Callithrix jacchus: one gene and its partner. The protein of the gene in region 1 purifies or fractionates together with the protein of each later gene. This does not show direct contact. Links are inferred from orthologs where the notes say so. Each region holds a gene or a part of one and is shown in the gene's direction. Other genes may lie near its edges.

Region 1 (5,095 bases):
GGAGTAGGACAACAAGAAATGGGAGAGATGTTTATGTATGCTTTTAGAACATTCTGGGTGATGCTTTTTAGTTCTTTGCTCCACCCCCATTCCCCATTGAGAAAACTGTTCTGGACTGTAGGGACTAACTATAGGTACAGGCTGGGCAGGAGTAGGAAAGGATGGCTGGAAGGGAAGCTAAAGCACTGAAGGAGTAAGGGGTTAAGGTTTTTTTATATCAACACAAATAGTAATAGTAGTATTTTGGGGGTATGCTCAGCTAGTTAGGTTCCTTTACTGTAGACCTTGACAGAGCCTTTCATATGCTCATGAATCTCCAAGAGAGGGATTTAACATTTTAAGATCATATCCAACCACAGGACCCTTATTTTCGTGGACCATTTTGTGGGCTAGTTTCTGGAGATTACACTTTGAAAATGCTGAATGAGAGAACTGCAGCAATGGTCAGTTCCAGTTAATTTGGAAAGTTCATGGGTTGTGGAAGGGGGAGGCCATGGTGAAAAGAGTGTCCAGGTTAAGGTCTTGAAGCACAGTTCAGGCTGTGGTTTTGTTGATGGAGAGCTGGATTACTTTCCATTCCTCCAGTTAAACTTCTGTTTTCTACCATTGAGTCCAGTATCAGTTGAGTCATCAATATGAATGTCAAAGTTGCAAAGTATAAGAGAAAATGGGGAATTTATGAAGTATTTACAAATATTCTATGACCAATAGTTTAATTTCTCATAGATAGGGATGGATAAAGTCTTTATGACAGCAGATCAAAATCCAGTGGCTTTTCAGATAACTAGTCTTTTCCTCTTACCTGTAAGAAAAGGAAAGTGGGTAACTGTCAAAAGTAGATACACTGAAATCTTGGAGCAGGTAATAGAGATGACTTAATATTTTTGGAGTTTAGAAGCCTTTTAAACAGATCAGTGTCGTAAGTTCTGGGAATAACCCAATTTGTACCACCTGGGCATTGAACTAAAGGCTATCTTTCCAGTGAAGTAAAGTTTAAGATGATAATTAACACTGAATGTTCTCTCTAAAGATTGACGAAGAAGCCAGTGATTGTTGAGGACAGAGATTGTTGGCAGGGATTAGACATTTATACAGCATGATTTAGTTTTTAATAATGTGAATTTTATCAGCATACAAACTTGCTCACAATATTGAGAGATACAGAACGGGAAGGCTTCTAAACAGTTTTCAGTTGCTCCAATGATACAAGTTTCACAAAATTCCACTTTTGTGCCAATTAATATTATTCCATTCCTTCCCTCATGTATCTTTATTCTTGAATTTTCCCTCGCAATCCACTGTTAAAAGAAGAAAATACCACTCGTGCATTCTTTGGCTATAGAAGTGTACTTGAGATAACTTTTTGCACATGACTCAACTGAAGTGTTCAAAGCACATAAAAATCACTTATCAGTGACAGGTCGCCGTTGTATGTGTTTTGCCCTATGGATACCTAAACTTTCTTTTCTTCACAGGTAAAGTCAGTGATAAATCTTTTGTTTGCTGCATATACTGGAGATGTGTCTGCACTTCGAAGGTATGTTTACAGGATGGATTAGCATGCACTTTACAGATATCTTATGAAGTTGCTTCCAGGCCGGCAGCCATTTTAAGGTTAAAGCCTCACTTCTTTTTCCCTTTAATAAAAATGACCCCAACAAAATTTTTATTATATCAGCACTTCCAGTGCCTCAGGCCTGCTGTCCAATCTTGTCCTTTTCTGCCTCCTGAAAAAAAGACAGTATCTCTGTTTCCTCAAGTAGTGACTGTTCAGCGAATCTGGCTGATTACTATCAGTGGCTTACTGGAATTGGATGATGTCTTCTCCCTCCATTCCCCATCTTTGGTGTGTGTGTGGGGGCGGGGTGGGGAGAAGCAACTGGGGCGTGTTGTGTCTTGCATTAGCAAGGCCATACCAGCATTAGCAAGGCCATACACTGCTGTACACTTAAGGCCTTTTGTGTAGAGCTGTAACTGATTTTCTCTTTCCTTTTCTTTTTGCTCCCATTAAGGCCTCTTAACAGCTGATTTTCAAAGTGGAAAACTGTCTATGCATCCCCTCCTTGTTTTAAAGTCTGACTAATATACTTGTAGACTGTGAAATGTTCAAGAATGGGAGTCTTAGTAAAAACATACAACTTTATTATAGTGATTAGTTTCTTGCCATTCTGAGATATAAACCTTGGTCCAGTTGTGGCACAAATCTTGATTTTTGAACAATAATGTAATAAAGCTCAATTTTGTGAGAGGTAGTTAACATTTAAATCTTACCTAAAAAAGCAAAGCTGAGGAAGAGAGGTGAAGTGGCATTTACCCAAAACACCTGTGTACTGGTCGTAAGGTCTGTAGTTCCCATCAATGAACCTGATGAAAGATGGGGCACCTGTCTGACAGGGCCTTAGATGACTGATGCAGTGAATGTTAAATTTGTTTTCTAAAAATCCACGGTGAACAGCTGTTCTTACAATTTTCAGATTTGCTTTGTCGGCTATGGACATGGAACAGCGGGACTATGATTCCAGAACAGCACTCCATGTAGCTGCTGCAGAGGGTAACACAGAAACTACTCATCTCTTTTCTTTCCACATTTAATTTCTACATTGTACTAAAATCTGCTTTTCTTTTTCTGGGGTGGGACGGTATAGGTCATGTTGAAGTTGTTAAATTTTTGCTGGAAGCCTGCAAAGTAAACCCTTTCCCCAAGGACAGGTGAGCACTTACGTTACCTTCTAAATATGTCAGTATTTTGTTACGTAGGAATATAATGGTCAAGTGGTTATAATATTTAAACCCACGGAGACATTCTTGAACCTGCCGTGATAGCTTATAAAGTCAATATACCTTGTTACTGCTAGATAGGTAATTCTGTCTCCCATATCCTGTTTCTTATCTAAGAATTTTTAGAAATTTTCAGGTTTGACTATCAGTCAATACACTGTATGAAGAAAACAATTTGTTTTGGCATTTTGGAAATGAAAATCGGAATTTTGTCCTCGTGGGGTTTTTCACTACACAGCGTAGACAAGATAAACCTTTAGAGAAGCATAAATTTTAAGATGATAATTAACACTGAATGTTCTCTCTCAAAATTTGCAAAGAAGCCAGTGATTGTTGGCAGAGATTCAACATTTATATAGCATGATTTAGTTTTTAATAATAATGTGAAATAATGTGTTGAAATTTCTGGATTTGGTTGGGATCAGTTTTAGAAGGCTTCATGGAAGTTAAATTTTAATCAGTGCTTGGGGGACAGATGAGATTGAAGGCACAGAATGAAAAGAAGGGCCACTCTATGTATAGTGGGAGAAATATGCCTAGAATATAGTCTGCTCTTCTCTCTTTCCTGGTCTGCATAGCAAACTGCTACTCATCCCTCAGCAAATGCTGTCAACAAAGTGGTCAGGGAAATAAGAACACAGCTTACACACATACATGGTACAGTAAACTCTGTATTCGTATCCTTGGACATTATGTACTGGAGTAGAGTGGATAAATCCGTGAGTGATGAGAATAAAAGTTTAGAAGAATGGGGAAAAACATACTTGATGGTGGTTTGATACGGAGAACCGGGAGCTGTAATCCAGTTTGGAGCAAGTTGATTACTCTTTAGCTATATTGTCTTTCTGTTTATTAAGCTTTTTGTTTTTTGAGACTGGGTCTTGCCTTGTCACTCAGGCTGAAGTGTAAGTGGCATGATCACAGATCACAGTAGCCTTAACTTCCCAGGTTCAAGCGATTCTCCCACTTCAACCTCCCGAGTGGCTGCAATCACAGGCACACACCACGCCTGGCTAATTTTTAAATTTTTTGTAGAGTTAGAGTCTTACTATGTTGCCCAGGCTGGCCTCCAAATCCTGGGCTCAAACAGCCCTCCCACTGCAGGCTCCAAAGTGGTAGGGATTACAGGTGTGAGCCATTGAGCCTAGCCAACTATCTTATTTAAAATTAGGGCTTGGGTTTTGTTGGTTAAGCTCTCAGCTTGCAAGAAACGCAGAAAAGTTATGTCAACGTCTGACAAATGTTAGCAGTTTTGTAAGTGTGCTAACACTCTGATTACCTAACTTTATTTCTATAGTAAAAAAAACATGATTAAAATGACCTTTATTGGCAGTATTCTAAAACCTCATGTAGGATGACAGTCCTCCCTTTCTCCCAATTTTAATACCCATCCCAGCTTTCTAGAGTATGAAATTGAAGAGTTTTCTTTCTGCGTTTACAATCCCAACTAAAATACTATAACACTATGTATACATGTTGGAAATTACTGTGCTTTGTATATGTGTAAATTTTTTTTTTGCCCTAAATTGGCCTCTAGAAATGTAGATGTACCTGTCTGATAAGAAAAAGTGAGCTAAGTAACTAACTTGATAACTAGATATTCAACAAGTCTTCTTTATTTCATAGAATCAATGTTGCCTTAAATTATAAAACTGGTTTGAGCAAAATTCGTATATTCTTTTTTTTTTTTTTTTTTGAGGCAGAGTCTTGTTCTGGAGTGCAGTGGCTTGAGCTCACTCATGGGAATCACCGCCTAGGTTCAAGCAATTCTTCTGCCTCAGCCACCTGAGTACCTGGACTATAAGCATGTGCCGCCACGCTATGCTAATTTTTGTATTTTTAGTAGAGAGGGGTTTCACCATGTTGGCCATTCTCGTCTTGAACTCCTGGCCTCAGGTGATCCTTCCGACTTGGCCTCCCGAAGTGCTGGGATTAGTGTATTCTTTTAAATTTAGATTTTTCTCATTAATTCATGGAAGAAGAGTTATAAAAAGGGTAACACACAGTTGAAGTTCCATTTTTCTAGAAAGACAGATAATTACATACTGTAGAGGATGACTCAAAAGTCTGTTTGAAACCGCTGACTCCTTAAACTAATGAAGGCCTATTCAAAGTCACTGAATTCAGCTGTTTGAGAAACACAAAGATACATGTAAAGTTTTACTTACCTGATTTTAAAAACAGGCTACCAAAATTTACCAAAAAATATTTTAAAAACGAGACTGTTTTAAAAACCTTTTTTTTCCATATTGTGATTCCATTAAGAGGGCAGAAAGTTCAGGACAGAGATGGAAGGGAAAGAAGGAAACAGGAAGTG
Region 2 (5,095 bases), on another chromosome or scaffold:
CCTGGAACAGTCAGCCACCTATTAACCGAACAACTTTTCGGTACCTGCATCTGCTGGGTCTGAGCCGCTTTCCACATGCCTCTGCTCATTTCCCTGCAATGTCAGAATGTGGGCTAGTCATCGGCATAAAATGGAGATGACAATGCCTATTTTACAGAATCGTTGTGAAGGTTAAATAAGATCATACATATATATGTGTTAGGACTTTTTTTTTTTAGTTTCAAAAGATGAGAACTCTCTTCCAACCTAGGTTAAAAAAAAATCAGTGGCATCTTCTGTCTGATGAAGGTTTTTTTTTAAGATGCATCATGTTTTTAATGTGGCACTTAGAATATAATCTGCCTAAACCATGATATACTGTTATTATTCCTTAGAATTGTTATTTTATACTTAGAGAAAGAGCTTATTAAAACTGAGACACCTTCTTTAGAAATTTTATCTTTCCAGGCATACATAAAGCATGAGCATGGTCCAAATATTTCTCATTATCTAGCTCTTCTGAGTGATTCTGAGTGACTCAGAGCATGGATGGGTCTGTGTTTTCCATGCAGTTTCACGCTCTGTACCTCAGGAGATGGATGATGCAGCCTTTCTTGAGAGAATGCCCCTCTGTTACAGCTGGGATTCTCATCCAAGCTTCTGACACACACTCCACAGGTGCGCTATTGAGCCTTTCATGCTCTTACCAAACGGTGTCAGTGGAAAGGCTGTAGACACAGCCAGAACTTGCTTTCCTCCCGGAAGTGGCCCTTGAATGGTTTGTTGGTGGAAGTATCCAGAGGTTGTATCTGCCCGGTCAGGCCACGGAGAATAACAACCAAGTCACCCCACTTTTCAGTGTTCTCCTTCAACAAGTCTGTGCAAGCATGTTGGTGAGGTCACACTCTCATCTGGCCAGTAAACGGTAGGACATCTGAATTTCAGAGATGTGAAAATGGGAAAAAAATGTCCACAGTAAAACTGACAAAATAGGTTTATTGGCTCACAAAACTGAGGGGCCTTGGGGTGCAGCTGATGTCATCTTTTCTTCTGGCCTCTTTCCCACTCCTTCTCTCAGCTTTGCTCTCTCTTTGAGGTGACCTCCCTTTTCCCTCTGCAACTGATTTGCCTCCACGTGCCAGGGGAGAGGGCCTCTGGTTTCAGGCTCTCCAGCTCAGCCAACTGCTCAGAAAATAAACCTCTGGGTGGGCTTTCTTGGTCCGCACACCCACCCTTCTGACCAAATGAGACTGCAAAGGGATGGCCACCACATGGGACCTGTGTGGAGCATGTGGTCAAGCTTGTATTTGGGATGTGACCCACAGCCCGATTGGCTCAGCATGGGAGAGAGCAGGGATGGTACTCCCCAAGGAAGGACTGGTGGGCAGAACAGAGCAGTGCATGCCCTCTGTGGTTTAAAGTGCTCTGCATGGCACCCGGTGCCTGGCCACCATTTCACAAACTGTGGCCACCATGATAGCTTCAGTTCAATAAGTGGTGGCTAGTATTAACAATTACTTTTTTCATTTATTAGTTGATTACTTATTTATTGATCTGCTTTTGTATAAAAGATTCAGGCTTTCTGAAATCAAAGTTAAGATTTTGTAAACATACCCCACACCATTGAAACTTTATCAGTCATATCAGTAAATTATGCCCTTAGATTTAGGTCAAGCTCCCTCTACCCTGTTGGCCACTTCTGCCCACTTGAACGCCACTCCAAGGTCATCCGGCCGCACATTAGTCAGGGAGATAGCTATTTATCCTCCAGATTATAAAGTCCTTGAGGGCATATGCTCTTGACTGGCTTAAGAGTACTGCATGCCTCTCTGTTTCCCGTGAAAGCTAGGGGAGGCCCATTTGCTAAACTGAAGTATGTCTCAGTGGGGCAGTGCACACCTATAGTCCCAGCTACTCAGGAGGCAAGGTGGGAGGATTGCTTGAGCCCAGGAGCTGGAAGCTGCAGTGAGCTGTGATCGTACTACTACACTCCAGCCTGGGTAACTGGATAAGACCAAAAATGAAATAAAGTATGTCCCTTTTAGACACGGAGACAGTTGCTCTTGATTATCCTAAATTCTGGACTTGCTTCATATGTATTTTTCAGGTAGCTTATTTAAAACTCGATGTACCTCTTGTGGAGTTGTGGCTGAGAATTACAGGAGTCCAATTTGTCCAGCTTTATCAGGAAGAGGGTAATTATACCACACTATAGAATAAGTATATGTTGTTTTCTCCTTTAGGTTGAATATAAATGTGAGGAAATTGAACATTTACCAAAGATTCCCATGGGTATTTATGAGAAATAAGACTAAATACAAGGCTGGATGCAGTGGCTTATGCCTGTAATCCCAGAACTTTGGGAGGCCAAGGTGTGAGGATTGCTTGAGTTCAGGAGTTCAGGACCAGCCTGGGCAACATAGTGAGACACCTGTCTCTACCAAAAAAAAAAAAAAAAATACAAAAATTAACTGGGTGTGGTGGCACATGCCTGTAGTCCCAGCTACTAAGGAAGCTGAGGTGGTTGGGTTATTTGAGCCTGGGAAGTTGAGGCTGCAGTGAGCCGAGATCTTGCCACTGGACTACAGCCTGGGTGACAGAGGGAGATTCTGTCTCAAAAAACAAAAAACAAAAAAGACTAAATATAGCCATGTGATAAAAGAAATATTTTGCTCACAACTTACAGTGTTAAGTGAAAACCACAGGGTCCTGAACTTGTATAATATGATCCTAGCTTTGTATTAAAACACACACACACATACACACACACACACACTCTCTCTCTCTCTCTCTCTCTCTCTCTTTCTCTCACACATACACACAATGAGTTTGTATATGTGTATATAGTTAAAATACAACAAAATGTTAATAAGGAATATCAGGAGTGGTGGGATTATGGGTAATTTTTAATTTCTTTATATTTTTCTGAATTTTCTTACATTTCTATGATGAACATGTGCTATTATTACAATGAGGAAAAAAATTGAGGGTAGACCCAATATTGAGAAAATTCCACTGAGTCATTTTAAAATAGTGTAAACTGTGTATGACTGTATGATGTGATTGAGGATACAAACGATGGTGATGTGTGAAGGTCAACGTGAAGCTCCCTGAGTACACCCAGCCACTCTAGCCCTCCCCACACATGCATTCCCTCACTTGCAGGACAACCACTGGTGATTTTTTTTTTTTTCTGAGACAGACTCTTGCTCTGTTTCCCAGGCTAGAATACAGTGGTACAATCACAGCTTACTGCAGCCTCTACCTCGTGGGCTCAAGCAATCCTCCTGCCTTAGCCTCCCAAGTAGCTGGGACTACTGGCACGCACCACCACACTGAGCCAATTTTTGTATTTCTGGTAGAGACGGAGTCTCACTATGTTGCCCAGGCTGGTCTTGAACTTCTGGCCTCAAGCAGTCTTCCCACTTTAGCCTCCTAAAGTGCTGGGATTCTAGGCATGAGCCTCTATGCCCAGCACCACTGGAAATTAATGGCTTGGGGACCTTCCTTCTAATGTCCTTCCAAGTGAGCATGTATTACTTAGGAGTTTTATATCACATATTGCCAGGCAAATATACAAACTGAGTTACTTTATTTCTTTATTTTTTGATTATGCCAATAACAATCTTTCTTGTCTAATATGATTTACTTCAGTGCTCCAGAACCTGGAACTCAAGATGCCAACATCCCAGTTGAGAAACTTCCCCGGTAGGTAAAAAACTCTGATTTGTACTAGTGTTCCAGGTTACAAAAAAAAATAGACATCGAAACCTAAACATGCATTTGGCAAGATGCCTCCTAAACCAAGTGCACAGACGTAAAAACTAGCCTTGACCTCTGAGACCAAAAGTGAAAGCGCAAAGGATGAACCAAGTCAGGATGAAAAGAATGATTTCTCTCCAACCCCTTTTTGCTTTGTGTTCTGGCGGGTTCATTTGAGGTCGGGGAAGTTTCTGAAGCTGTTGTGCGACAGCTGGTTAAGCAGTGCACAGAAAGCACAGGCGCTGACCTGTGCCTGGTCAAGTAACATCACTGGCACGATTAAGCCAAAGGACCTGAATAGGAGACGTTACAGGACTAGACAGAATGTTCGTAGATTAAAATAAAAAAAGGAAGATTTTTATGCCAATTTTTCAAAACCAGACATTAAAACAGCACTTCCATAATCTATAATTGGATTAGAGGGTTTTTTTTTTTTTTTTTGAGATAGAGTTTTTGCTCTTGTTACCCAGGCTGGAGTGCAATGGCGCGATCTCGGCTCACCGCAACTTCTGCGTCCTGGGTTCAGGCAATTCTCCTGCCTCAGCCTCCTGAGTAGTGGGGATTACAGGCACGCGCCACCATGCCCAGCTAATTTTTTTGTATTTTTAGTAGAGGCGGGGTTTCACCATGTTGACCAGGATGGTCTCGATCTCTCGACCTCGTGATCCACCCGCCTCAGCCTCCCAAAGTGCTAGAGGTTTTTTTTTTTTTTTTGAGATGAAGTCTCACTCTGTCCCCCAGGCTGGAGTGCAGTGGTACGATATTGTCTCACTGCAACCTCCACCTCCTGGGTTCAAGCGATTCTCCTGCCTCAGCCTCCTGAGTAGCTGGGATTACAGGGGCACCCCACCATGCCCGGCTTATTTTTGTGTTTTTAAGTAGAGACGAGGTTTCACCATGTTGGCCAGGCTGGTCTCAAGCCCTTGACCTCAGGTGATCTGCCCACCTCAGCCTCCCAAAGTGCTGGGATTATAGGTGTGAGCTACCACACCTGGCCGGAGTAGAGTTTTGTTTTTTAAAGTAAAATAAAACAGCACTTCTAAAAATATTCCATAGAACATTAATTTAATGTGACATTGATGGACATTACTTGAAAAAAACATGTTAGGCACTCAAATAAATATGGAAATATTAGACTAAACCAAGTTAAAATAGGTTTGCTTTGCTGCAGGACTTTTCAGAGCATTTAATCCACATCGCTGCCTTCTAAAAAGTGGTTATAATGTGTATGTTAATACTTTGCTGGCTTTTTTAACCACAGAACCTTTCTTATTTTCCTTATGAGGGGTTTCATTGCCAAAGTTTAAAGTTTTCTTCTGAAGAAATAGGGAGATCTGGAGGATTCCTCTGATGT

The links.
Region 2: the proteins of GLS (region 1) and SIRT5 purify together in Homo sapiens (affinity purification with western blotting; 3 studies listed by BioGRID and IntAct, with this or other methods). This does not show direct contact. The link is inferred for Callithrix jacchus from reciprocal best matches to the Homo sapiens genes GLS and SIRT5.

What each region holds. Positions count from the first base shown.
Region 1 is NC_133507.1:37,843,456-37,848,550, reverse strand, and holds part of GLS (glutaminase kidney isoform, mitochondrial), read left to right. Parts: intron 1-1,475; coding exon 1,476-1,537; intron 1,538-2,474; coding exon 2,475-2,551; intron 2,552-2,645; coding exon 2,646-2,709; intron 2,710-5,095. UniProt on the Homo sapiens protein: Catalyzes the first reaction in the primary pathway for the renal catabolism of glutamine. Plays a role in maintaining acid-base homeostasis. Regulates the levels of the neurotransmitter glutamate, the main excitatory neurotransmitter in the brain.
Region 2 is NC_133505.1:17,071,877-17,076,971, reverse strand, and holds part of SIRT5 (NAD-dependent protein deacylase sirtuin-5, mitochondrial), read left to right. Parts: intron 1-2,086; coding exon 2,087-2,174; intron 2,175-3,633; coding exon 3,634-3,687; intron 3,688-4,789; exon of another isoform or gene 4,790-5,095. UniProt on the Homo sapiens protein: NAD-dependent lysine demalonylase, desuccinylase and deglutarylase that specifically removes malonyl, succinyl and glutaryl groups on target proteins.